Linked DNA regions of Notamacropus eugenii. The protein of the gene in region 3 purifies or fractionates together with the protein of the main gene of each other region. This does not show direct contact. Links are inferred from orthologs where the notes say so. Each region holds a gene or a part of one and is shown on either strand. Other genes may lie near its edges. The genes, in order: MRGBP, EPC2, ING3 and ACTL6A.

Region 1 (7,262 bases), on a different chromosome or scaffold from region 3:
ACAAACATGGTATGAACCAGGTCAAGAAAAGGGCACAGCATAATGCTTGAAAAGACCACCTGTTAAGTACAGCCATAGCTTCCAGAAATAAAGAACCTAGCTACATAATGGCATGCTGATGCAGGTTAGCAAAAGGTCACTGGCTTGTAGGATGCTAGGATCTGGCAATCAACCAATTATAGGAACCCCACCTAGGGAAGGAGAGACAAAGGTTATCCTTTTAACACCACTTAACAGTTCAGTGGCTTTTCAACACCCTATTATTTTCGGTCCCTAAAAACACTTTTGGGATTCAAAGATTAGCTTGTTCCTCACTTTTTGAGGTCAGGAACTTAAATAAGAACTCAACTGAGAAACAAATCATTTTGTATATAATCACATTTTATTCTCACACAGCCTCTGAGGCTGGAGTGCAAGTATTATCTCTCTTTTGCAGATGAAGAAAAAGCTCAGTAAATATCAGAGTCTAGACCTAAACCAAGACCTTTTTATTCAACCCATGTTCTTTCACTGCCTCATACCTGAACATCTTGGGATTCCATCTGGACTGGGTTAGCCTGTTTGGCTCATTACAATAGACTGTTCCATTGCAGTCCATTTTCATCTGAGAGAGGAAAGGGGAGTACTGAGACAATTCTCTGAAAACTGCAAAGTTGTGATTTCCTTCTAGTAATTAAATTTGTGTAGATTCTTAGAAATTATGGCCCATCAGCCATAGGATAGTGGAAAGAGGGGTCAGGAACACTGGGTTTTTAGTCTTGTTTTGCCACTAACTAGCTGTACAACTTTCAGCAAATTCCTTTTCCTTTGTGGGTCTCAGTTCTCTCAGCTGTAAAATGAGAATGCAAGATGATCTTTAAGGCCCCCTTCAAATTCTAACAATTAATGGGTTCCAGTTAACTGAGTTCAACTTCAATACAATTTTACTGTTTTAGCAACTATCCCCCTAAATTTTTTAAGCAGGATTTCCACATACCCTATTTTCTTATAGCCAGACACTCCTGTTTAAAGGTTTCTTAGTTTGTAGGAACTCAAGGGAAGAACAGAATTAAATCCTCTCACTTTTACTTATACGCCCAACATTGTGCTGGAATTCACTCCTTACCAAAGCTTGCATATCGTACATAGTACTTAAATGGTCCCAGATGACTTTGGAGGAGATCTGCCTCCCTATGTTCTGACTGAACTTGTCCCTGATGCAGATCATGTGGAAGTGCCGGTTCACACCTGTAAGAGGGGGGAAAACTGTTCAGGAAATTCCACCTGTTCCTGACTTGAAATTTTTTTGGGGGGGAAATCTTTATTTTACAACACAAGGAAAATAGCAGAGTTCAAACTTATAAAAACAAGTGTTTTCCCTCTGTCTCAGAAATATTAGTACTCTTTTTTCCCCGCTACAATTACGCTCAAGTACAAGAGTATTCTCTCTCCCAAGCTCCTTGCTCTCACCCTTGGCAGCCAGTAAATAACAAGTGCTCAATAAATCCTGGTTGAATTTAAGTCTCGAATCCAAGTGTTGGTTCAGACAGAAGAGCCATAAGTATTTAAAAACAAACACCACTACTTCTCCCCTCCCCCAACAAGGAGGCTGGCCTGGCCTCAGGTTTTCCCATAGGGCTCCACCATGAGGAGAATCAGCATTTCTCTCCCTCCCCAAAGTTCCTAAAAAGGGATCAACAACATATATTCTCCCTGAGCTGGGGAAAGGGTAAAAGAAGAAGGGAAGGGGGGGAGAAGACAAGGGAGACACACAGGGTTGCAGGGGGAGACGCCCCGGAGTCTGGGGTGGAAAAACTGAGGGAGAGGGCGGAGATAGAAGGGGGGAGGAGGTTGGGAGGACCCGGGAACCAGGGAAGGGGGAAAAGCTGGGGGAGGTGGGGTCGGGAAGGGAGAAAAGTGGGGGTGGGCGGGGAGGGGTAGATGGAAAGCTCAGGGTTGGGTGTGGGAGGGAGAGAAGCTCGGGGAGTCGGGGATCAAAGAAGTAAGGGGGAGAAGCCTGGGGGAGTCGGGGATGGGAGAGGACAGAAGGGAGGGATCGGGGGCTAGGGGTGGGAGAGGAGAGAACCCGGGGGGGCCAAGGATGAGAGAGAGAAGAGATAGGGGGCCGGGGATGGGAGTGGGGAGAAAGAAGAGATCGGGGGCCAGGGATGGGAGAGGGGAGAAGATAGGGGGTAAGGGATGGGAGGGAGGAGTTGGAGGTCCGGGGGGCGGGGATGAGGGGAGGAGAAGCCCGGGGGAGCCAAGAATGGGAGTGGGGAGAAGAGAGAGCTCGGGGGCCGGGGATGGGAGACGGGAGAGAAGTCCTGGGGGCAGGAGCCAGAGGGAGGAGGGCTCCCCGGGAAGCTTCCTAGGGGCGGATTAGTGTGAGGCCCAGCCCTCCCGCCGGCCGCAGCCCCGGCCCTCCGCCAGGCCGCGGCTGGCACTCGAGGCCGCGGCTCCGGCCTGGCCCAGGCTGCGCTGCTCTCCGCGCCCAGCGCTGCGCCCTCCCGGCTCCCCTTTCCTCACCGACGGGCTTGTGCCCCAGCATGGCATGAAAGAGGCACACTTCCACCTCGGGGCTCCACACCACGACTTCGTCGGGCGGGCCGGGCGCCGACTCCCCGGGGCCTTTTTCACCGCTACCGCCAGGGCCCGGGCCGGAACCAGGGCCGCCTCCGCCGCCCCCGCCGCCGCCCCCGCCGCCGCCTCCCGCGCCCGAGCTAGAGCCGCCGCCGCCGCCGCTTCCGCCGGTGGCAACCTCGGCTTCCCCCATAGCTCTGTCCCGGTTAATAGAGCTGTAGAGCTGCGAAGCGCTGCGCGCGCGGCCCCGGCGCCCTCTGGCGGCCGCTCTGCGCCGTGCGCGCCCCCGCGCCTGCGCCCCCAGGGCCGCTCCTCCCTGTCCCTGACCCCCCGAGACTGCTGAGCTAGGCTGGCCCTGGCCGCTCTGGCCGTCGTCCCCCGGCCAGGCCGCGCCTGTGCCCACGTACTGGCGCGCGGGCTCCTTGGCTCCAAACATGTTTCGCTCCCGTCTCCACTACACCTAGCCTTTCCTCCGTTTTCGTTTCCCCAGAAAGAAATTAAACCTCAGTTTAAACTAGACTGTGGTGAGCATTTATGAGGCTCCGCGGAAGTGGTGGGTGGGTGGTGTGGGTGTAACAATCCTATTATTACTTTGGATGGGAATCAGGCCCCGGTTAAAAGAAAAGCCGCAATATTGTTCCCTCAGCATTATTCCTAGGGCAATCATTAGTAGAGATGACCACGTGGGGAGAGTGGTGCAAGGGTTTTAGAGCTGTGGAGAATACTTTGCAAATGGCAAAACCGGGTCAGAGGGGTTTAAGTGAAATGTCCAAGGTCACACAAACTAGCTCCTGAACTCAGGTCTTCTGACTCACAAACCAGTTCTCTCTTCACGCTATTCTTTACAAATAATACTGCTGAACCCTCCCTCGCTTAGTAACCCATATTTGAACTTCATTGGATTGATGGAGGGAAAGACGTTGTCCCTTCCAGCCTTGGGTACACGAGACTTCAACAGAGATGTGAGATAAGCCTAATAGAAATCCAGAGAGAGCTGATGCCCAGGTGTTATGCATTGCTACTTTATGTGGCTAGGTATGCAAGCTCGTGTGGAGACCTTATCTCGCTTAGTGTAACCCTGAGCGAGTGGCTTAACCTCTCGGTGTCCCAGACAAATAAGACCATAAAATACTGTTAGTGTTGATTTGGAAAGAAGTTTTTCACCTAGAGGTTCCTATATCCATGAAATCATAGGCATTAAAAAAAATACCATGTCTTGGGCTAAGAAGAGTGCTTTGCTGAAGATTATTTTAATCAAGGGGCTTTCGTAGCTTTGATCCTAACCTCGTCTCACTTAGCCTAGTACATAGTAAAAACCTATGTCCGCAAACATCTCTTGTGAAGTAGTTATGTTTTAGCCTGGATTTGATTTCTGCGTCTCCCATCAGAAAATGTCAATTTACAAAAAAGGTAAAGTGGGATGGTTACAATTAAATTCACTGTAGGGGTTCCTTAATTAGTTGCTAACTGATGTTTAAGTATAGGGTGGGTCAGGTTGATGTTCAGAGATCTTAACCAAGGTGTGTCCTGAACCCCTCGGGCAACCTTCAGATGCCTATGGGTCCCATATCAGAATAATGTGGGTTTTTTTTTTAAAGAAAGGTTTATGATGTGTTTATAGACCCCAAGTTAAAAACTTTGACTAAATTGATTGTCAGTCCATTTATTGAATCAGAAATGAAGACAAAATATTTCCTGAAATGCCAATGTAATGAAAATTCATTTCATTTGAACAAAAACATGTTAAGGCTTTGCTAAACTATAGGAGATTACTTAAAGTTTACATAAAAGGAGGTTAATTCCCCACTTAGTATGTGCCAAACAACTGTTAAACCCTAGGGGATACAATTACCAAGGTAAAAACTATCCCCACTGCAAGAAGCTTTCTCTAAACATTTACTAAACTATGTGTCGGACATTGTTCATGGTGTGAAGGATACAAAGCCAAGAATGAAACATTCCCTGCCCTCAGGGACCTTCCATTCTGTCAAAAGAGACATGTTTAAGTATATGCGATAGCTAGAAACTGAAACAATATAACCTTGAATGAGAAGGCACTCTCAGGTGAAAGGACAAAGATTCCTGTAGAAAATGGCACCTACGCTGAGTCAAAGAAACACATATGAAGAAAAGTAACGCATTGTAGAGTTCATGGAGGGGAGTAATGCATAAGAAGACAACAGAGATAGGAAGGTGTCAGGAGTTTATATTTTGTCCTAGAGGTGACAGGGAACCATTGCCATTTATTGACTAGTGGTGTGACAGGGTTAGACATAGAAAGGCTTTAGGAAAATCACTTTTGTGGCCATATGGAAAAGGGATTGAAGTGAAGAAAGGCTTAGGGCAGGGGAACCAGTTGGGAGGCTAATTGCAATAGGCTAGATGATGAGGACCTGAATTGGGGTGTTGGCTTTGTGAATAGAAAGAAGGGGATATATGCAAGAATTGCTTGCATATATATATGTGTGTGTGTATAAGTATAATGCATATAATATATATACATTCATATACATATGCATATATACAATTGTATACACATTTATATGTATTTATGTTTTACACATGTATATACACATACAGGACAACTGTGTCTCTTTTACTATTGTTTGCTTTTTTTTAGGAGGAAATTGAGGTTTAGTGACTTGCCCAGGGTCTCACAGCTACTATGTATCTGAGGCCAGATTTGAACTCAGGCTCTCCTCACTTCAAGGTCTGTGCTCTATCCATTGTACCACCTAGCTTACCCTTTCTTGCTATTAAAGCTTAAATTTGCACTAAGACTTTTGGGATACCTTTGTGTGTGTGTGTTGTTGACCTGAAAACTTTGTTAAGAAAAGGCAACATGGCTAAATGCATACATTTTATGATTTAATTAATTAATTGATCAATTCCCTATAAAGAAAACAGTTACATAGTGCTATGGAGTCAGAGGTGACTCTGACTACCTAGTGCAGAAATCATCTGTCTTAAGTACATTTTGCCATGAGAAAGAAACTCTCCTAATTAAGCAAATCATAAATTCAGTAAGACAGGACAATTAACAAAGCAATGTGAGTCAGGCCTTGAGATTCCAAGCTGGGTAAGCATATGTCTCGGTGATAAGGAAAGAAACCCCACCACTAGTAAGTGGCAGGCTTCCTCCCTTAAACAGATAATTGACATAGGAAAGGGTAAACAATGTTCAATAGAAATTATGATCTAAGATGTCTATATTTTCTTTATCATTAATACGCCATAACATAGTATATGTCTATAGATCAAAGGAAAGTCCCATTATTCATAACATAGTATGTGTCTATAGATAATAAGATTCATCAAAGGAAAGTCTCATTCATCAAAGGAAAGTCTCATTATTCAAGATATAGTGTCTTAGGTTAAAGGTCTCCTTAAGGAGTGTAGAGTCGGCCTTGGCTGGCTTTTGCTGACATAGGAAGAGGCACTCTCTGAGTTTACTTCAGAGAGAACAAAGAGATTATTCCAAAATTTTATATTAAACATTATCAGTGTGTACAAATATACATATACATATTCTACACACACATATATAAAATCAGTGCTAGGATAAGTGGGCAAGGAACTTGAGAGAACTTGAAATACTGTAGAATTAACCTGGTTCACTAAGGAGTTAAGATGGTGAAAGAAGGGGAGTACAGATAGTTCAGGGGTGCAAGTCTGAAAAAGAAGTGAAGGGTGGAAGGAATGGAGGTTAAGGTTGAAGAATAGGGGTATGGTTCATAAGGCAAAAGGAAAGATGCTATGATAAGAGATTATGATTAGATAAAGGAATTTCAGAGTTCAGGAACAGGGAAGTGGAACCCTTGCGGGTTATGGCAAGATCCAGGGCATTACATTTGTATGTGTATAGTGGGGTGAGGAGTAGGTAGTGGGAAATATAGAAGTTGAGAAACTGGGAGGTTAGGGTCCTTGAGGAATATCAGTGTGCATTTTGAAGTCCTCTGGTGTGAAGACAGGAATTGAGAGAAGAAAGAAAGACTGAAAGCTACCAAAAATTGATTGGGTAATAAATATGGACTTATTGAATCTCGAAAGAGGAAATGATGTAATGGTGGTAGGGGGAGAATCTACAAGAGGGGATAGGAGCAAGGAATATTCCAATGCCTCCAAAATGATCAGTGTGGGGGGGGGGATGGGGAGGGGATGAGTGAAAGTGCAACAAATGCTGGAAAGGGGTGGTGGGATGGCGAGGAAGCTGTGTTATTAGGATAGAATCAAGTTCAAAGAGTACAAGAAAATAGAAGTGGGAAAGGAAAAAGTGAAAGAAGAAAGCAAATGTTGTTACCTGTGGAGCAGGCATTCCAGGGAACCTAGTGAAAGAGGTGGGTAGATCTTGAATGGAATGTCAGGGGCATTAGAAATGGGACAGGAACAAGGGAGCAGGCAGTTGGGGATGGAAAATAGGTTCGAATAATTTTATCTTTAGTTCAGACTGGAATGGGGAGGATATAGTGAAGTGGGAGTATGTTAATCATTGAAGAATGACTTTAGGCAGGTTATCATCACCTAGGGAGACAGGCAACTTGTAGTGGGGGTGGGTCAAGAATTCTAAGAGGTCCTTTCCATGTTTTCACAGTTTCTGCAGAGTGCTCTGACAAAATAAGTAGATTTATTTAATTTTCTCTTTATCTTGCAAAACTGATTCTAATCAAATATTCATCCTCTTATCTCTTTGACTTTCTTCTCCT
Region 2 (7,218 bases), on a different chromosome or scaffold from region 3:
TTGAAAGAATGTGACATTTACAAAAACTGTTAAATAGTTGAATAGTAACTATGACTATTTGTTTTTCTCAACTGAATTAAGTTTGCTTTTTAAAAGTTATTTGTCAATTATTTAGAAAAAGCCTGTTCTGATTACAAGAGTGGGAAATGGACAGTGAGATTTTATTTTGACTTTCACAATAAATTGCTATTTGATCTTAAATACTCGATTTGTGGCTCATTTTCCTTATTTTTCACTCTAAGGAATTACATATCTGCAACTGTTTTATTTTTAATATTGCTTTAATGCTCAGGTCTGATTCCCTGATCTTTCTTCATATTACATTTGTAGGGTTAAATGTATGCAGCTCATCATAGGTCAAGGGAAAAGCATATTTGAAGAGATCAGTAAGAACATGTTGTAATTATTCCAAACCTTTCAAAATTCTTCTTCCTAGAGAACTTTTTTCTTAGTAAAAGGAACTGTCTCAGAGGTCAAGACTATAATTTTACGCTATTTATGGAAGCAAGAATAGTGGTGAAATTCAACAAATACATTAGGAAGAAAGCTTAGTTAAGTAATAATATCTATGTACAAATGAAAGACTTTTCAGACACTAAGAGTCAAATACTAGTTTGAGTAATGAATTGGAAGTCAAAAAACCACAGACTGCCTTATGATAAATATGTATTGTGTTGCTTCCTTCAAACTCTTTTTTTCACCAATTCTAAAATAACTGCCCATATGGCAAAAGTAAAAGAGAGACTTGAGGGAGAAACTTAAGTGGACAAAAGGCTTAATGGTCATTTATGAAGCACTTTGAATGCCCTGGCTCATTTGGGCCTTACAATAACCCTGTGAAGTAGGTACTAAAGGTCTTATTACCCCAATTGTAGAGATGGGAACAAAGGTACAGAGGGCTTAAATACCTTACTTGCATATAGCTAGAAAGTTTCAGAAGCAGAATTCAAATCTAGGGTTTCTGTTCTTCAAGTCCAGTATCTCATTCATAATGGTGGGAAGTTTCTTAGTTAATAGAAAAAAAAATCTGTTCTTATTACTATATGCTAGGGCTTAATATGATTTGTAGTAATGTGCTGTCTTGTTTCCCAAATTGCTTTTGGCTCATAAATTTGGGCTGAGGAACCAGAAATGCTGTGGGTGTTTACAGGAACATGCATGGACAACTAAGTTCAAGTCAGGTAAGGGACCAGTGAGGCACTCTAGCTCAAGCTGGAGTAGGAAGTATCCTGGTTCCCCATTTATCCACCTCCACCCCCGCCTCCAACACTGAATCCACAATGGAATAGATAATGGATCTAAATCTAGCCTTTAGGCTATGGGTTATGAGTTTTTACTGGGATCCTTGGGGGCGTTTAGGTTAGAAACTTTACCTCCTGGAGTGCTCAGCAATCTAATGGATTTTCCTAAGTAAGAAAGTGAATAATAAAGGAAGGGAAGAGGAAGTGTGGGGGAGGGAGAAGAGAGTAGGGGAAAGGTGGCCAGAGCTGCTGGAGAAGCACAAGACAACTTGCACTTGTAAATTTCTGGGGACCCAGGGAAAAATCCTGGTAGCCCACTTACTGCATTTTCTTTTCCCGTATTATCTATACTTTTTATATTCAGTTCTGTGTTCAACCCTCCACTTCTTGGTTTTTTCCTTTCTTTAAGCTAAACTTCCTTTCTTTGCCCCCGGATTCCTGAAGAGAGTAGTGTTCACAATTAAATATACTCACCAGCTCGTTTGAAACATTCCCATTTTTTAAAATTAAAAACATCTTCCATGGAAAATATTTAGGATTTTAGATTTGAAAAAGATCTGCTTACTACCTTAGAGACCAGTTACTCCAATCCTCTCATTTTAAGGATGAAGAAATGGAGGTCCGGGAAAGTTTGTGACTATGCCAATGCCACAGGGTTGAAACCAAGATTTGAACCTGACTCTTCCATCTCCAGATCCAGGGTTCTTCTCATCACATCATGACTTAATGATAATTGACATTCATACAGGGTGTCCCAGAAGTCAGTGCAGTTTTATGCTTTAAATTCCTTTAAAACTGCACACAGACTTCTGGGACTCCCAGTATAACGTTGTTAAGGCTCTCAAAGTCTTTCAAATGCCTGATTTCTTTAATTCTGACAATGGTGTTATGAAGGTGGTACCACAGATGTTATTATTCACATTTCACACATGAGGCAACCAGAGGCTTGAGAATTTAAGTGACTTGCACGTGGTTATAGAGTGAGTGTCGAAGGCAGTATTTGAAACCATTTCTTTTCTGGCTACAAAATTAATGCTTCATCTCTACACACCACTTTAAATAATGCCCTAAACTGGCTTGACAATTCAGACTCTATCCAATGTGACTATCTACCCTTTTCAGCTAAAATCCCACCTTCCATAGGAAGCCTTTCTTGATTCTCTTAATTCTTGTGCCCTTCCTCTATTGGTTTTCTCTAGTTTGTCTTACATACAGTTTGTATGTAGTTGTTTGCATGTCATCTCCCCTATTAGGATGTGAGTCAATGAGAGTAAGGACCGATTTTATCTTTCTTTATATCTTTAGCACTTAACATAATGAATGACTGGCACACAGTAGGTGCTTAGTAAATATTTATGAACCGGAAATTTTTATAGTCGGTTTGTTCAAAAAAAAAAAAAAATCTTGGAGTCCTACAGAATAATACTTGTCACGGAATTCCTAAGAATTCTGTTAGGATTACTTAATTCTTTAAATATTAATCATGATATTCCAGCTAACATAAGTGCCAAGAATACTGTTATCAAGATAGAGCTCAAATCATACTTCCTTACGTTTTCCTTGAACACTCCAGCCTAAGGCGAAGTGAACTGAACCGTTATTTTCTGTACCATTTATTTGGTATAATAATTTGCTACATTTTGACATTGTCTTCTTTGCCACTGTGTTTCCTCAGCTGAAAAATGAAGGGATGGGATCAGACGATCTTTAAGGTCTCTTCCAGATCTGAATCTTAAGCATCTTGTTTTTCATCGTATAAGTTTGCCTAATTTTAGATAAAATGATTTGTTTTTGCTTCCCCACTTAGCGCCTGAGACCACCGTGTCTTTACACAACTCTATCCTGCCAGCATCTAGTGAAATGCCTTGCCCATGGACGCACATTTGTGGATTGGATGTTTTTAAGTTAAAAGAATCCTTTAGACTTCTCAGCCCTTAGGAGAGCTGCAGGTGGCATCAGAAGGTCCCCGCGCTCTGAGGCTCTGGGGTCCGCGGGGACAGAGGTGAGTGGTGCCCGCGCATCCGGCCCGACGGGGAGCGTCGGGATCCCCTCGCTGGGCAGCACCACAGCCCTAGGTATCGCCCCAAGGCAGGGCAGGGGTCGGGGGCACGTCGCTCCCCAGGGGGCCGGACGGGCTCCAGGCTGGAGTTGTGTCCGAGCGGTGTGGACCGAGCCTACGGTGTTTTCGCACCTCCTGGGTAGCGTGCGAGCGTGAAGGAAGAGGATGCTCCGGGCGGCCTGGGCATGAGCCCGGTCTGAACCCCGGGTACTCCGTGCGGGCTGTCTTCCTCGCCACGGAGCCGAAGCGCCCCCGGGCAGCGCCGGGGTGAGCCTGCATCTTCCAGCGCCTCCGTTCGCGCGGCCGGGACGGGCTGGGGAGGCAGGGGCCACATGGGATGGGGCATGCCCACCCACGCACACCTGACGGCAGTCAGGTTGGCGGAGGGTCGCACGGTTCTCCGCAGTCCTCTCGCCCTGGGAGGCCCGAGGGCCCGCGCACACTCCCGCGGGCCGGGGGCGCGCCGAGGAGAGAGTGGGTGGGGAGGGGAGCGGACTGGAGAGGAAGGAGGGAGGAAAGAGGGAGGGAAGGAGGGAGGGAGGGGACGGCGGGGAGGGAGGGAGAGGACGAGGCGCGTCCCCGCGGCGGGGGCGCGCCCTCGCGCGGGCTGCCGGGATCGCTCGCCGCCGCTGTGGTAATGTCCGCCATGTTGGCCATGGCGCAGGGAGCGGATCGGGCGGGCGAGCGGCGGATCTAGTGTGTGGAAGCGGCCGCGGGCGGCGGTGGGTTGTTCTCGGGCGGGGTGGGCGCCCATGCTGTGGACGGGGGCAGTGAGGAGGAGGAGGAGGAGCGGGCCGGCCGTGCTGCACTGAGGAAGGAGAGGAGGCGGCGGGAGCCCTCCCCCCCCTCGCCCGCCCCGCCGCCGCCGCCGCCGCCGCCCGGGCTGTTCCTGTGAGGCGGGGAGACAATGAGTAAACTCTCCTTCCGAGCGCGGGCGCTGGACGCCGCCAAACCGCTGCCCATCTACCGCGGCAAGGACATGCCCGACCTCAACGACTGCGTCTCCATCAACAGGGCCGTGCCCCAGATGCCCACCGGGATGGAGAAGGAGGAGGAATCGGTAGGGACTCGAGTGTTTATTATCCCCCCCCCTTCCCTCCTCCCTCCCCCCTCCCCATTGTCAGCCGGGCATCGCCATTCACGGAGCGCTCTACGCACGCTGGAGGGCGCAGCCGCTGCTCCGCCGCATGGGACCGTACGCCGGCGGAGTAGCGTAAACTCTCTCCGGCAGCGCCGAGCCCTCCGCGGCCGCCATGTTGTTGCGTCCCCGTGTTGTGATTAGCTCGCCGCGGCGCTTACGCCGCCGTATGGGGGCCTCGCCGTAAGCGGCGTCTGGGAATGGCGCAGGGGGCTGCGCCGGCCGCTGTTGGCGGAGTGCCTCTTACTCGTTTAGGCACTGGGGGCCTGGGGGCCGGAAAGGTTTGCTTTTCGGGGCGCATTGGGCTTTTTTTCTTTTCCTTTTTTTTTTTGTTTTGGTGGTTGTTGCAGCGGGTTTCCTTTTTTAAAAAAACATTACTTCGGAGAAGTAGAACGATTTCCAAACCGACATCTGTTTTCCCCCTGCAAGATCGTCTTCCTCGTGTTCTTCCCCTCCCGCTGTAAGCTCCCCATCCCTGGTGCAGTCGGTAGTGCGGCATGGCCGGAGGTGGGGGAGACGGACGGCGGCGGCGGGGGCCACTACACTGCAGCCTGCGGCACTGCCCGGAGCCGGTCAGCACGCGGTCGCAGACCCCCCGGGGTTCTGTGTATGTCCTTCTGCACGAGCCGTACGCGCGACCACTTACTGCGTTTGTCAGGGAGGGTCGCTGCCTGTCTGACATTTCGCGGTAGGATGCGTTTCGTCTGGAATTCTGAGTTGTGGGTTGTTGCAGTGGCTTTTCGGGGGGGATTGCTGAAATTATTATGGGGTGACTTTGCCCCCGGCTGAATTTCAGCTGATTTTGTGCTGGGTGTTGGTGACCCCTCGAGTGGCTTTACTTGCATGCGGAGTTCATAGTAACTGCACCCTCCAGAATTTCTTCAATGAACCTACTTCCCCGCCTCTTTGTCAGCCCCCGGTGTGTGTGGATTGGCTCTCCGGCTTCTGCGGCTGTCAGAAGAAGGCTTGCTGCTCTGTGATTGGTCTCCTCCTTGGACTATTAATATTGCAGGAAACACTTTCATGTCTTTGATTGGCTGCTCATGCCTCTGACCTCATTGTGTCGCCCTGTTATTACTACTTTCCAGCTGTGATTTAATCACATCTCCCTTTAGAATTGGAATCACTGGCTTAACTTTCACTTGAAAACGTGGTGTTTTTTATTTCTGAATAGAACCTTCCTTCTTCTTTTGGGATCTTGGAGAATATGGTCTCCAAGACTTTTGGAGACCAAATTCTCCATTTAAAAAAAAAAGCAAAACTAGAGTGAAAAGAAACATTTATGGGTGAAGTCTGTGCATGAATAGAAGGAATTACTTTTAGACGTTTTCAACGCATTGCACCAGCAACAAATAGTTGCTTATGGGACTAGCATTTAAAATAACAAAGTTCTACCCCGGATAAAGAATTACTTTAATTATTTTTTTTAAAATCAGGGATAGGCTTTTGATCTGTCCCAGATGTAGAGAACTCTCAGGTGAAAAAACTCCTTTTATCAATTAAAGTTGACACTTCTCTCTGCAATGTGTAGTCTTAGAGAGTTGTTATGGAGAGCACAGAGAAGTTAAATGGCATATCTAGATTCATACAGCTAATAGCTCTCTCTCTATGTGTATATATATATATATATTATATATATATATATAATATATATATATATCTCAGAGGCAGAACAGGATTCCACATTTTGCTGATATATTGGTTCACTCTCTGTCCACTACCACCCTGATGCCTCATATTTTATTACACTTTTGATTTTAAGAATTTTTAATAATTTTGATTTTATTCCGCTGAATTTCCATAGATATCATGTACACATTTTTAGACTTTCAAAAAGACAGGCATGAAGTGAGTCCATCTACTCTTGTATATAATTAAAAAGAGCTTTGGACTAAAATTCAAGAGACTTGAGTTCAAAGTCTGGAGATGATACTAATTATAGTTCTCTGATCCTGAACAAATTACTTAACTTTTTCTGGGTTTCACTTTTGCTCATTAAAAAAGTGAAGGACTTGTAGTAGATATTTGAAGCATCTTATTTATTCTATCCTGTCCATATCTTTTTTGATCTTGAGTCTGACATTGACTTTCATGTAGCATGGTGTTCAAACCCTTTCCCAACTTTGTTGTCTTCCTCTGGATACTCACTAGGTTATTAACATCTTTCCTAAAATGTTGTATTAATACCTATTGATCTTCTCCTTTTCCTCCATATTCTCTCTCCTTTCCCCTCTGTCCTTTCCTATCTGCCTCTCTGTCTTTTATCTTTCCCCTCTTCTTCTTCCACCTGAGTGCAGGGAACTTCTTCTGACAGTACAGTTTGTCACCTCCTTTGATTGCATACTCTTAAATGATTTGCTTCAAGGACTCAGCAATTAAGGGACCAGTCGGGATTATTATTTTGCCTGTCTTAATGCAGCCTAATAGCACAACTTGTTTGGACACCATATCTGAAAGATCATCTTCAGTTCTAAAAGTCTGTAACCCAGTGAATACTTTGGTTTTTTTTTTTTTTATATTTCTGATGCATCAAAGCTTTTCAGTTTATTAACTTCCTTCCAAAAATGCGATCCCCCCTCAAAAAACAATCTCTTTTAGAACTACTTAACTCTAGGATAGGGATTGGATCTACCATTTCATGGAGAAGTACTGGATGAAGAAACATCCTCTACTAATGTAGGTAGATACCTTTTCTGCAATTAATAGTCTTAGTTACTTTGAACATAGAGGTTAAGTAACTTGCCCGTCATCACAAACTGTGTCAGAGATGGGACTTGAAC
Region 3 (7,530 bases):
GCAGCAGAATCTCTAGGTCAAAGGGAAAGGCCATTTTAGTCACTTTCTTTGCCTCATACTAATTTGCCTTCCAGCATGCTTGAGCCAATTCACAACCAATACTGTGCCAGTAGGTCCCACCTTTCTATAACCCCATCCAATATAGACTATTCCTATATTTTGTCACTTTTACCAATTTGTTGGTTGTTGGGTAAAATCTCTGAGTTGTAACATTCCTCGAATTATTCTTGATTTGGAGCACTCTTTCATGTGGTTGTTAGTAGGTCACAATAATTCTACAGAGAGAGCTTAACCCGTCAATGAAATTACAGATTTGTCCTCCACCATCCCCACTTTCTCTTTCAGATAAAAAGAATATAAAGAAATCCTTCCACTTATTTACAATCTCTTTACTCCATAATATGACTTCTGACAAATCACAATGTCTCTAGGCCTCAGTTTCCTAATCTGTAAAACAAAATGCTTGGACTTAATTGCTTAAAGTTCTCTCCAGTTTTAGAATTATACTTCCATGACAGAGTATTGGTAGTCTCCAGCCTTGGAAATAGTTGTATTCTAAAGTTTAATTTGGAAATCACCTGTCTGGAATTCAAAGCCTATTTTCTCATAGAAACAATGTTTCACATAACGGTTGAGTCCTCAGGGTAGTACACAGTAGTTTAACTTGGAATCCATTTGTCATAAAAAGACAGAGTAGAAAGTGATACTGTTACAAAAAGTTTTATCAGCTTTTGTGAGTGTTAGCATGGGGAACTCATTTATAATATTGTTCCTACTGGAAAATGTTTTTCATAGTCTACACAAGGGACTATAGATGTGCTAATGACATCTCTCTCTCCATCTTCTTTCTGTCTGACAAGACAAAGCTAAAGATCTACAGAAGTTGAACAGAGAAGCAGGTATACATGTGGATCAGAAAAAGTATTAAATCTACATCCTACCCACACAACAAAGAAACATAGTAGCTCAAGGCCTATGCCCTTCTGGGGATTGTTCCTCATGTAGCTCAGCTACTCGCATGAATTGCCATTAATAGTCAAAGACTACTATTAAAAAGATGAATGACACACAGCGGAGTGTTAATAACATATCTTTGTATCTACACAGTGCTTTAATTACAAACATTTTCATTACTTTCTCACAGCAATCCCATGAAATAAGAGTATCATTATACCCATTTTACAGAAGAAAGTATGAAGCACAAATGAGAAAACCAAGGCTCAGAGAAATTAAAGAATTTGCCCCAGTTCACTTAAATTTTAAATGACAGAGCCAAGTTGTGAACCTTTATTGCTTAGCTCTGACTATAATACTATTCCTCCATACTACTAAAGCATTTTATGCTTTTTAAAATTCTTACCCATTAACACCAAAAGAAAGTGTTTTATGTATGTTCAACAGTTGGTTAATGTCATGAAAGATCATTTACCTAAGAATCAAAGAACTTCATGGTCAAGTTTTTAAAATGCTCAGATTCACAGATAATGTTGTAATACTGAGTCTCAGAACATCATAGCACTTTCATGGTAAAATCTGTGGTAATGTGGACAATGTAGGATTACCCTTTCAAACTAGAAAAATAAAGTGAATGAAAAACAATAAAAAAATAAAATTCTTCCCCTTCCCTTTTGTTTAATCCTCACCACTCTGAGACTGGTAGGTAGTGTAGCTATTATCCCCATTTTACATATTTGAAGACTGTGCCTCAGAGAGACCTTCCCTGGAAACAGTTGGGCATGAACTTGGACTCCTTTCTTGCTCTGGAATACAATTTTGAGGTACTGGGCCTCATCTTTTCATCTTCTTTTGTAGGAACTTCACTTCGACTTGTGGAAAGAACAGTGGTGTAGGCAGGGAGTTAGTTTAGTGGTCCCTGACACTGAACAGGTGATGTTAGGTAAGTTCCCATATTTGCCCTACTAAAGGGGGCAACAATCTTCCCACGAGGAAACTTCATTTCCAGACTTTGTTCACTAACTCCTCACTCAAGGCTGTTAAGCTTTCCTTAAATCTCACATTCACTATGAGGAAATAGTGTTGTTTGTTTTTTTTTTTTAATGCAGCCACAAAAGCGTAGGCTGGTGCTAGGATACGTTTTTCTATATGAAAATTAAATTGTTGTTAATTTAAACATGGTTGACAGCATCTGTAATCTATTCTCCCCCCCCCCAAAAGAAACCCCTAGTTTCACATTTGTTGTGCTATGAATTCAGCTGAAAAAATCTCAGATGGTTTTAAAGAAACACGCAGTTTTCAGCACAATTCTAAGCAGCCCGAACCTTTGCACGAGGTCAAACACTTCCCCAAACATTTCCTCCTGCCAAAGAAGCACGTTCATTCGGAGAATACCATTCATTACCCGCCCATCACAAACCCCACCGGGTGAAAGGCGCTTCTGAGACTGGGCCGTTTATGCAGCAGGGGGCGCTGGCGGGAGGGGAACAGGTGCTCGGAGTTCAAGCAAGCGCGGGGAAAAGTCACTCACTCTGCACCTGCAGGTCCATCTCGCGCATCTCCGTAAAGCGATCCCGCAGGTCCATCGGCAGCTGCTCAATCACTGTCAGAGAGACAGAACCCGTCAGAGGGGGCGGGGCCGGGGCCAAATTACGCACGTACGTACGTACGTCTTGTGCGTGCGAGAAGGAGGGGGACGAGGGGGGAGGCGGCAGCCCACAGCGAGGCTGCCAGTTACCGTGAGAAAGAAACATCCCCCCGCCTCCCCCCATTCCCGCCCGCCCGTTTGCTCGCCCACCCGACGCTCCCGCGGGTAGCTCCCGCCCCGCCTCACACTCACTCTCCAGATAGTCCTCTAGGTACAACATCTCGGCCCTTAGAGCTGGGGAAATGGGGGGAGGGTCCGGGGGTTTGTTTGTGTCACTCGCTGTCGCCGGAGTTTTGTCCCTTTCAATATGGCGCCTCCGCTAGCAGCAGCCGCTCGACTCGGGCAAAAAAAACACTTTGGCGCCTGACGGCGCTCGCCTCACCGCCGCCCGGCACGTTCATTGGTCGGCCGCCGCGGTGACGCAGGCTGGCCGATGCCTTCTCCCGCAGCCTTGTGGGAAATGTAGTTCCGCTTTTGCAGAAGTTGAGAAGAAACGAGTTATAATGACTTCACAGCGAAACTGCGTCTCCCAGGAGCGACTGCAAACGGTTTTGCACAAAATCTGAAATGAGGAACCGCGGTCTATTTGTTGACTTTGGGCAGGGGGTGCTGGGAGTTGTAGGCAGGTACGTGACATAACTCGAAATACAACTTTTCGCCGGCTCCTCAGCGCGGTGAGTTCGTGTCCCAGCTGATCGCTCTCTCTGTGGTATCCCGGCTGGGCTTGGGAGAGGCGAGTAACGGGAGGGATGTGATGTAATGAACGGAGACGAAACACAATCTGGATTGTTTTGAAACCAAAACTCTTTGCCTCTATCTTCCGTCCAGAAATAGGACCCGTTGGTAGGTTTAGCAAAGGTTTGCGTATGACTGAACGTACTTCGTTCCTGGAATCGAGGTTTTGTCCGGGTTTCCAGGCACCTACCTAGGAGGTAGGGCTTTGTTGGCGTGCAGGGGGGCACAGTGTGCTGAGTGCGGGATGGGGAGCCAGGAAGACCAGAGTTCAGACCCTGCCTCTCCATTCTGTGTGACCCTGGAGCTGATCACTCCATCGACCCTAGTTTTCTCATCAGTTAAAAGGGGATTAAGCACGGGGTTCCGAAGAACAACACGCTAGAGCGGGGTGAAGCGGTTCGCAAACCACAAAGCGCTACGTAGGGAGTCGTTGTCATTTTGTCCTCTGTTTTGTTTTGTCTTTTTCAGCTTCCTTCGCTTTCCTTTGCACTCTAAGGAAATAAATATGTTTCCTTTGTTGAAGCATTTATTAGGTGCCTGTTATATGTCAGGCACTGTGCTAAGCACTTTCAAATATCTCATTTGATCCTCACAACTGCCCTGAGAAGTAGGTTATTACCCCGTTTTACAGTTGAAACTCAAGGTATGCAGCGGTTAAATGACTTGCCCAGGATCATAAGTATGTGAGGCAGGATTTGAACTCGAGTCTTTCTGATTCCAGGTCCAGCCTCCTATCCACTGCTCATCTTAATTGCCTATAGGAGGTCAGCTTCTGCTTACTAGGAGCATCAGCTGATGAAATAATTTTTTTATATATCTTTGAAATAGAAATTTTTATCCTACTTTTTCTTTACCTAGTGGGTTAAAAAAATGTACTGCATGTATGGATAAATCTTGATCCTTTGAGGTACTATTACACTCCACACCTTCTGAGGTTGATAGCTAGCATTTCTATAGCATTCTAAGATTGGCACACTTTTCTGTTTATAGACCTAGATACCTACCACCCCACCCAGGGAGGGAGAGGGAGTCTGGAGGGCACCAGAAGTCACTGCTGGTACACAAGTGGCGAGTTATGCAAGTGATTAAACACCCTGCAGTGGCAGTGGCAGACCCACCCTAGAGCTTTACTTTCAGCCTTTTCTTTGATCCTCAAGTACTTCAGTGGATCTGTGGTTTCTGTAGGGTCATTTTCTCTGACCTTCAGTATTACAGCCCATTCAGGTTCTCTTGTCCCCCCATAAATTCTCCACGGAAGGTCCAGTCAATATATTTTCCCTCACTTCATTATTGATGTGTTCTCATTTTCATGGGTCCATAGTCCCATGAATAATGGAACAAACATTTATGAAGTGCCTACTATGTCCTTAAAACAACCCTCCGAGGTAGTTACTATTATTATCCCCATTTTATAGTTGAGGAAACTGGAGCAGACAGAGGTTAAGTGACTTGCCCAAGACATCCTGCTCTAACATTTTCTTTCTCTTCCTGTACTTAGTAAGGTCTATAATGACTTCACACTTCAGTGATCTCTGATTTCTTTCCTGTGGATACTCCTCCCAGGTAATCCCTTCATGCATCATTATTAGATGGTTTCATGAAATTCTTTAGCCAAAAACATTGATAATCTAGTGGCCAATCCTCTGTTAACGAGCCTTTCTAAACTGAGCAAGACTGGTCCTTGGACAGCAAGTAATAGAGTTGACCACCATGACTGAACTCTAAAGCCTTTCAGACTGACAATATTTTCCACAGTTTGCACCACCTTGGCATGGTCTCTGAGAATCCAAGGTCACTTCCGTGTCATGATGAGGCATCTAAGTTGGATTTCATTGGAGGCATATTTACTTTTTAGTGTGTTTTCATTTCCCAGTGGAAAATAGTAACCATTTCCTTTTCTTTCCTGATTGTTTCTCATTTATGTTTCACCAAATTCCTTATGTGCAAGAATCATACCCTGTTTGCATCTACGCCAGCATATACTATAGTCTTTTGAATACATTAAGCACACTTACACTTAATACATGCTTACTGAAAAAATGCTTAGATGCATGAATGAACCTCTTCTCTGGCTTTACGCACTATTTGTTTAATCAAGTACTTTCATATCTATTATCTCTAATGACACTGGGGATTTATTTATATATTCTAGAGCTTGTGTGGTACAATGTTAGTTTTTTATTCCTTTTGAGTTCCACAATATCCTATTCTTTTTGACTTCCTATACTTGTTTGTTGCTTAGATTTCTGTGATTGCTGAGGTGTGCTCCAGTAAGGTACTTGTACTCACATTCCAAACCTACTTGTCTCTTACTTTTTAAATAATACCCAACATAACACCCATTCTGGCACAAAAAATGACATTCTTTTTAAGTCAGATAACCATAAGTAGTGTTAACTCAGTACTCAAATAGTTCCTGCAAAGGAGTGAAGATGGTTTCCATCCTGGAACTTGAGGCATTCCTGGAATTTATAGAGAGAGGCTGCTCTTCCATTTTAAAAAAGATAGAGAACCTTAAACAGCATCATGTTGTTCTCTAGATAGTGCAACTAAAATATATGCCATAATAAGATCTCTCATTGTGCATGCTAAATTTTGGATTAAAGTATTACATGAATTTTTAGAATCATTGATTCTACTGAGATTTAAATTTAACGAATGTAATCAGCAGCTTGATGGGGGCACTGCTATTTATACTACAGTTATGCCATCTGTCTCAACATTGAAATTTTGGGGATTTCCTAAATAACACTTTGTATATCACCTTATAAGTGGAATTCACAATGAAGCTTACTATTGGAATTATGTGATAAAACTAAATCTAGCATTTGTAATGGTTCCAGTAAGGATCTACCTATGGAGATTATATAACTAAATAGTAGACAAATTAAACTAGTGATTTCTAATATAAATGCTTGTCATTGCAAAGGCACAGACTAAGGCATAATCCTAAATGTTCCTCAAGATACTGAAAGTTATAGTTTTGCAGATAAGGGGTACAGAAAATAAAAAGAAAGATGACTTTGAGAAGGTACCAGAGGTGGGAGCTTCTGGCCTTGAGGACTTTTTAAGTCAAAGGGCCGCACTTGAGGACCTAGAGGACCACATGTGGCCTTGTGGCTGAAGGTTTGCCAACTCTGGTGTATACTTTTCAAAATCAGTTAGAGGGAAATCTAAGAGTGCCATAGTAATCCATATAAAGATAATTTTAACAAAGCCTAGAATTCTGTAATTTTGAAGATTAATGACAAAATGCTTGAGGATAATATAGTATTTACAGATGATTATAAGTGTAAGATAGGTATTGATGCCAATTGTATATCAATGATCAATAGATACTTTTAACAATATAGTAGAGTAGTAAGGACATTGGACTTGGAATCAGGAAAGACCTAAGTTCTTAGGTCACCTTTAATTACTGAGTGACCATGAATAAGTCACTTAACTCCTCTGAACCTCAGTTGTAACATAGGTGTAACAACACCTATGGTATTTACCTTACTAGGTAGTTAGGACCAAGAGAAGTGATGTTTATAGGTCACTTGCAGTCCTGTGAATATCAAATAAATAATAGTTATTATTGATCATGTTTTCTCATATAACCTTCATCAAGTTGTTGAGGTCACAAAACATTCTTCAAAACTATAGTGATTACCCATTTAATATCACTAACGGATGTGTTGCAAATGTAGAATATGGCTTCTTTAGAGAAGCTTCCTTTGTCATTGCAAAGGGGTAACACAAAAACTTAGGAAAGAATTGGTTCACAGTACTGAGATTCAGTGTTTCATGCATTCATAATTATTTAGTTACAATATGCCAATTATTCCAGTACTAAAGTCTAGGACTGGTAATCTTAGAATTTGTGTAAATCATTTATACCCACCATCTGCAATTATTTAACTCTTTGACTGGCTTGGTAGGAGGAACATTTTTGAAACATCTGACCTTACCAAAGCTTATTAACTATGGCTGATCACTTGTGGTGATTGGTAGTGATTTTAGACCTTTGAACATTATAACTTGTTAAGTGATATCCCAAGTTAGTTGCCTTCTATTTGGAAGTCCTCTTACCCTTGGAATTTTCCAGTGTTTCACAGAAATCTTGTGCTGTAGGATTTTAGGTGAGGTATCATTTCTGTAAGATTCTGAGTATGTGATCATCCAAGAGTAAACTTGTGGGAAGACTCTAA
Region 4 (6,873 bases), on a different chromosome or scaffold from region 3:
ATGTTATCTTTTTTCAGAAGCAAAGACATTAAAACACTTGATACATGCTTCTTAACAGCATGGTCTAGTGGAGGCAAAACGTTATAAACTGGAAATGTACTGATTTTCAAAACCATCCCCATGCCCACAAAGCTCTTTCAAACCTTCAGTGTTTCTTGAAGTCAAAGACAAAGCACAACCATAGGTGTAGAAGGGTCTGACATGTCTGTTGTTCAATACTAAACAAAATGAAATAATGTGTATCACAGTACAGGTCCCTTAGCCAAGCTTCAGGAGGGCTAGAGGAAGAGCTAATGAAGATAAGGCAGCAAGAAATGCAACTAGGGTGATCCCCTTGTGAAATCATCAAGGTGACTCTCCCAGTTTAGAGAAGAGAAAAATAAGGTCTGAAAAGGACCCCCAGGTCATAAAACCAACCAAATGGGGTGTCCAGCCTGACAGCTGCCAGGCCCGGTTCTTACGACCACCTCACTTCACAAGGTGCGCAGGCAAGCTGAACAAAGATTTCTAAGACCAGACTACAAACCCACGATCCCCTGCTCCGTCTCCTGAACCCAATCAATCCCCCAAGTTTCTCCACCAGTGTCCTGAGCACAAAACGCCTTCTGAGAGTCCGCTGTCACGGCCCCGCAGGCCCCAGGGTCCCAGGTGTCCCGGGGGTCTGCAGAACCTAGGAGGAGCACGGCCTGGGCAGACCTCGGACCTTCTGGGCCAGGCTGGCCAGACCTAAGGACCGCTTCTCGGAACGTCGGCTGCTCTTTTAGATCGTCACCAAGGCGACGCTGGGTCCCGGGGCAGGTGAGTTCAAACCAAGCTGCCTTTGGGTGCTGCCCAAGCTTCTCCGGCTCGGGGTCACTGACCCGCCTGAATCTACCCCGGACCAGGCTAAGAAGCCCAGGTCCAGCAATCTCGGAAACTTTCGGCAGCGCCGTGACTCTCTGAACGTCTCTCAGACGGGTCGGGGAGCTCAATGCGCCATCAGGACCCACCATCCCGCCCAGTCGTTCCCCGAGACACTGACAAAGGGCACTCAAGGCCCACAAGGTGCCAACACCCCCCTCAGGAGCCCACCCAGAGGGCCTGGGCCCTTGCCCTGAGGCGGCCCCTCCGTGTCCGGGGGCGCTCTGAACGAGGCGCGGGCCCCGGAGCCCCTCGGTGGATGCCCGATCTATGCAGGGCCCCGAGGACCCCCCTCGCCATCTCGGGCTCCGAGGCAGGCCCCACCCGGCCCCGGGGCACTCTCTCCGCCGGTGGCCGCCGCCCCTCCCCCATGACCCGGGGCGGCCGCATGGTGCTGCCGGGCTCTCTCCGTTCCGACCTCGGTGTCCCGGGGGCTGGTGCTGGGCGCCAGGACGCGGCTGGCTGCCCACTCTGGGCCTCGGGGCCCCGGCAGCGCTGGCGCCCGCAGGCCCGCGACCTCCCCGCTGCAGTGACGGCGCCTGGTCGCTGCCCTCTCCGGAACCCAAGGGAGGCCGGGCAGGCCTTCCGGCAGGGGCTTCAGGGCTACCCCTCTCCCCGCCTCCCTGAGCGGCGCCGGAGCGCGGGGATGCCTGCTCCGGGCCCCGGCCCGCGATCCCCCACGCCGCGCTCTCGGGCCCGGCTCTCTTCGGGGCCCGCGCGGCCCGCGCCCACGCTCACCTCCTCCATAGACGCCGCCGCTCATGGCTGCTACTGCCGCCGCCGCGCTGAAGCGGCCCCCGGCCCCGGCCTGCCCGGCCCCGGCGCCTCCTGGGCTCCAGCAACCGCCGCCCGCCCCCCGGCTTCCCCCTGAGGCAACAAAGCGCCGTCCGCTCAGGCGCGCATCCACACTGCTGCCGCCGCGCCGCGGGCCAATGACGAGCGGCCAGGCCTCCGCGTCCGCCAATCCGAGAGAGACGTTGCCCCCGCCCGCAGCCGTGCGACCAATAGAACGTCCTCGGGGGGCGGGGAGAAAGCCAAGCGGCGGAAGGGGGCGGAGGAGACACCGAGTTGGGTTGCAGCGCGTAAGGGGCGGGGCATAAGGGACTGGGGCGGGGCCTGCTAGGGGGAGAGGCGGGACTTGCCAAGAGCGGGAGCCCCAGAGACCCCGCAAGTCACGCGGTCCCACCCCCTCTCTCCCCCAAAACCCAGAGAAGAAGGGACTCACGTGACGTCACACATACGTGTGTGGGGGGAGCCCCGGGGATCTCCAGCTGCGGGAGGTCGCGAGGTCCTCCCCATCCTTTCCCTGGAGCTCCTGCACCAGTGCGGGGACGCAGGCCTGAGTTGCCAGCCCCCCTCTTCGGTCACGTGCTCCCGGGATGGCCTCAGTTACCTCATCTGTAAAATGAGGGCGCACTGCGGACCCTCCCAGCTCTGTCGGTGATCCCAGGGGACACGCCTGACCCAGCAGCAGGTCTGGGGCACCTCCCTCTGCGCGGGTCCCTCCCGCAAGCCCTCATCCACCAGCAGGCTCAGGTGCGCGCTTACCTGGCGCACTCGCAGAGTAGCCTCGGGCTGCTAAAAAGTCCTCTCCAGGTGCGCGGATCTGTCGTACCCGGTGCTTATGCCCAGTTATGGCTCCCATTGGGCACTTGGTGACTGCCCCTAGAACAGACCTGAAGCACTGCCTGCCTCTGGGGAACTGAGTGTGGCTTCTGGAGCCGCCCCCTGGAAGGTGACAGGGCTGGGACCCGAGAAGCGCTGACTCCCTTTGATTTGGGCAAGCCGCCAGGCATAGAAATGCTCCCGACTTTATGGCTGACAAGGGAAACCCTGCCAAACCCGCGGGAGAGATCCTTAAAAGGAGGGATCCTTATTCTAACAGCTACAAGTACTTCTTAAGCGCCTACTTCGTGCCAGGCACGGTGCTCCGAGCCTTGAGCCGGCAGACAAGAAGGCAACAGCCCATGACGTTATGAAGAGTTAATGTCATTAGAACAGGGATGATATGTTGTATATAGGGCATATAGACAGATAAGAGATGAACAGAACGAAGCGAAGCAAAGCTTTCTCCAGAGATGGTCAAGTCCTCCCCCAGGCATCGGTGTTGGTACCTGCAGAAAGCAAGCCTGCCTTTTATGTGACTCCGTGAAGCCACCCTAAAAAGCCCGGGAGCAGTTTTATATCTGATTCTGAAACTCATTGCCTTTGCCAGTAGAGGGCTTACTAGTAATGAGATTTGTTCTATGTCTCCACTGGAGTTCTTGGCTTTGAAACAGGCTGCCCTGACAAATTTTTGAGACTGAGCATGGAGCTCATTTTCAAATATGGGCGGTCAACAATCACCCTGGTAATCCAACTAGCTCTAAAATGTATGCTACCTGCAGAGAAGGCAGTCATGAGCTAAGTGTGTACTACCTTCTGGGAAGACTCAGCTCCAGTCAACAGCATTTATTAAGTACCAGGCACTGTGCTAAGCTCTGAGATACAAAGAGAGGATATAGAAATAACCATGAACAAACGATATAGTCAGGATACTTTGGAAACATTCAAGAGAGGGGAACATTAAGGATTCCCTTTTCAGAAGGTGAGACTTTAGTGGAGATTTGATGGAAGCCAGGGGGAAGAGATGAGGAGGGAGAGAGTTCTAGGTATGTATTACAGCCTGAAAAAATGCTTGGAGTTGGGAGAGAAATATCGTGTACATAGAACAGGAAGGAGGCTGCTGTCACTGGATAGCAGAGTATGTGGAGGGGGAGTAAGGTCTAAGACTGAAAGGTAGGAAGGAACTGGGTTCATGAAGGGCCTTGAAAGCCAACTAGAGGATTTTACAATGGATTTTGAAGGCAATAGGGAGCTGTGGGAGTTTGGTTAAAGGGAGTAGGGAGTATGTGACATAGTGAAACCTCATTTTAGGAAAGCTATTTGACAACTGAGCTGAGGATAGACTGGAGTGAAGAGAGATTTGAGGCAGGGAGACCCACCAACAGTCTGTTGCAATAAATAACCTAAGCTACATTTGTCAACAGCCATGGTGATACCCTACAGGAATGGTAAAGGTGATAGGTGACACACAAGTTGCTGGGCCACTAACATGTGGACTTGTAGCTGAAAGTTTAGGACTTCCACCAGTCACTGGACCCTCACTGGACAAGAATTTCATTGTATAGAATCATTTTTTCTTGCCTTGACCTTAGATGACTTGGTAAGAACAAGTGCATGATACAAATTTTAAAGTAATGATTTAGCTAAAGAAATGAGGGTGTGGCCCTCAAGGATGAATGTTTCATTCTCCAGAGAGTACTTTGCAGAAATTAGAGCTATGAAATGAAGTTCTGTGCCAGACCACTATTGATCCCACCCCAGGTTCAAGAAAGCAGATGGTACTATCCAAGGCATACTAATCTATGGCTATGGAATCTCTGATGATTTGGGATATGCAGGTCAACGGACAAATCTGGACTTTATTGGCCAAGATGGCAGTTGACATTTGTAAGACGTATAAGACCTTCACTTTGTGAGTCACCATCCACTCAGAATCATAGCTTATGAGACCCTACTGACATGCTTACTTTTACTAGACCAACAAGACAACCTACCAGTTTAACCAAACAGCATAGAAAAATAAATGATGGTGATGGAGAAGAGACACAAGACTCTTGTTATCTCTCCAGCCTCTGAAAATTATCACCTCAGGCCCTGAATATATGTGCAAAAATTCTATTCACCTGACCAAACCTACCTTCTAATTTTAATTAATCAATTTAACAAGCATTCATTAAGGACCTATTCTTGTGCTCTGTACTGGGCTAGGTGCTGGTGATACAAAGGAAAAAATGAAATGGTTTTTGACCCAAAGAAACTTATGTTTCACTTGGAGATAATAACATGTACACAGATAACTAAATATAAAGCATGCACAATATAAAATGTATACAACATAAATACAGATATAAAATATATACAAATAAGTGGGGGAAGAACAGACTAGCAACTAGAAGAATTAAGAAAGATCTTTCTAGGAAGTAGCATTGAAGCTGAAGCTTGAAGTAAAGGATTCTCAGAGATCAAATGTAAAGAGGAAGAGAATTCCAGCATGGGGGATGTTAGAATATTCATCATAATAATGACAAGTGACAGAGATTGTATAATTGTTGATGTATGTAATATTTCCTGATCTTTTGTCCCACTTCTGCAACTTTTTTGGTCAAAATGTATAGAAAAAATATAACGCAGCAACACACTACATTGGTGATGATGATGATGATGATGATGACTGGCATTTATATGTGCCTTGTATGTGCCAGGCACTGCACTAAACACTTTACAAATATTTTCTCATTTTATCTTCACAATAACACTGGGAGGGAGATGCTATTTTTATCCCCATTTTACAGCTGAAGGAACTGAGGTAAATAGAGATCAAGATAAGAACATCTGCCTTGTAGGAATCTGGAGGGGCAAAAAAGTCCTAAACATTCAGATTATTCCAGGTTCCACTGGCAGTCTTTTATCTGGAAGGAAAAGTTGGTTTAGAGGGCGTGTTTCGGACTTCATCTCCCAGCCAGCTGCACCACTGCAGACAAGCAAATGTAGGGAGAAGCTTTAATTGAGCCTTCTCCCTCCACAGCAAGACTGGTATGCCAGAGAAAACTCCAATCTGACAATCAAAAAACAAAAAGCTGTAAATTGCAACTACAGTAAATCCATCTTAGGAGAAATTTGCTTTTAAGGTAAGTGGTCTTTTTTTTTTTCCCATTGTTTAGTATATAGTCTTCTGACTGACATGCCATTCTCATTTGGAAAATTCACCCATAATTTCTGTTCAGCTTGCTTTCTGACGCATTATGGAGCTCAAATGCTCCGACTGAGCGGGATGGGTTATGCCATTAAAACAGACAGCAAAAGAAATTAAGTTACAACCAAGAAATTCAGCCTGTTGTGATTTGTACCATGTCAGCCTGTATTAAAGTACACTCTTAGGGATTTCTTACATTTTGCCATATAAAATGTATGACTTTAATAAGATTATTTGCAATGGAGTAGTGGACTTGCTAGAGAAGGTCTGGTAAGAAAGAATTTATTCAGCAGTGATGGGGAATGATAACTAAGGATCCTGCAGCTTTTCATTAATGTTGACCTGTGAAATACCCATTTATTTTAACTTATTGATCTGGTGTTTCATTTTCTTCCATTTCCACATAAAAAGACATGATAAATTCAATTCAATTAAACACTTGTTATGCCTCTACTATCTCGCAAGCATTGGGCTAGACATTGGGGGCACAGAAGAAAAAACCCAAAACATTCTCTGCTCTCAAGGAGCTTATATGCTACTGGCGGGGATACAATATGTTTTAAGATTAGTAAATACAAAGTATACACAAAGTAAATTCACAAAAGAGATAGCGCTAACAACTGGGAGAGGAAGGGGGATCGTAAAAGTTCTTGTGTAGGAGGGAACACTGAGTTGGACTTGAAAGAAAGCCGGCAATTCTAAGAGTTTTAGGAGATGAAGAAGGGCATCCCGGGCTTGTGTAACAGCAGGAGCTGGAATATCATGTCTGGGGAGGATTGAGTGAAGTGATACAAATACAACAGTCTTTTCTACTGAAAGAAAATAAGCTGGGGTTCATGATGATTTCTTCTTGGAGGTATAGCTAAGCATCGCCTTCTCTAACATCTTAGTGTATCATAGGGTCATAGAAGGGACCTTTGAGGCCATGGGGCTCAGCGCCTTGATTTTGACAGATGAGGAAACTGAAGCACCTAGAGGATAGCTTGCCCAGAAACACATATCTAGTGTCTGAGGTGAGATTTGCACCCTGGCCTCCCTGACAAGTCCAGTATCCCATCAGCCATCCTACACAGCTTCTCTGTCACAGATAGGAACCAGGAAAACTCAAGGTCTTGAATTTTATATCAGTTTATAGTCTCAAATCTTCTTCTAATCACTGACATTCAGGTTGTTGG

What was found.
Region 1: the proteins of ING3 (region 3) and MRGBP purify together in Homo sapiens (co-immunoprecipitation; 4 studies listed by BioGRID and IntAct, counting the BioPlex papers as one, with this or other methods). This does not show direct contact. The link is inferred for Notamacropus eugenii from reciprocal best matches to the Homo sapiens genes ING3 and MRGBP.
Region 2: the proteins of ING3 (region 3) and EPC2 purify together in Homo sapiens (affinity purification with mass spectrometry; 3 studies listed by BioGRID and IntAct, with this or other methods). This does not show direct contact. The link is inferred for Notamacropus eugenii from reciprocal best matches to the Homo sapiens genes ING3 and EPC2.
Region 4: the proteins of ING3 (region 3) and ACTL6A purify together in Homo sapiens (affinity purification with western blotting; 3 studies listed by BioGRID and IntAct, with this or other methods). This does not show direct contact. The link is inferred for Notamacropus eugenii from reciprocal best matches to the Homo sapiens genes ING3 and ACTL6A.

What each region holds. Positions count from the first base shown.
Region 1 is NC_092872.1:499,219,398-499,226,659, forward strand, and holds the start of MRGBP (MRG/MORF4L-binding protein), read right to left. Parts: upstream 3,025-7,262; 5' UTR 2,996-3,024; coding exon 2,506-2,995; intron 1,228-2,505; coding exon 1,106-1,227; intron 1-1,105.
Region 2 is NC_092876.1:282,154,527-282,161,744, reverse strand, and holds the start of EPC2 (enhancer of polycomb homolog 2), read left to right. Parts: upstream 1-4,207; coding exon 4,208-4,360; intron 4,361-7,218. UniProt on the Homo sapiens protein: May play a role in transcription or DNA repair.
Region 3 is NC_092874.1:130,718,871-130,726,400, forward strand, and holds the start of ING3 (inhibitor of growth protein 3), read right to left. Parts: upstream 3,005-7,530; 5' UTR 2,823-3,004; coding exon 2,795-2,822; intron 2,558-2,794; coding exon 2,486-2,557; intron 1-2,485. UniProt on the Homo sapiens protein: Component of the NuA4 histone acetyltransferase (HAT) complex which is involved in transcriptional activation of select genes principally by acetylation of nucleosomal histones H4 and H2A.
Region 4 is NC_092877.1:344,709,735-344,716,607, forward strand, and holds the start of ACTL6A (actin-like protein 6A), read right to left. Parts: upstream 3,020-6,873; 5' UTR 2,546-3,019; coding exon 2,449-2,545; intron 1,832-2,448; exon of another isoform or gene 1,664-1,831; coding exon of another isoform or gene 1,639-1,663; intron 1-1,638.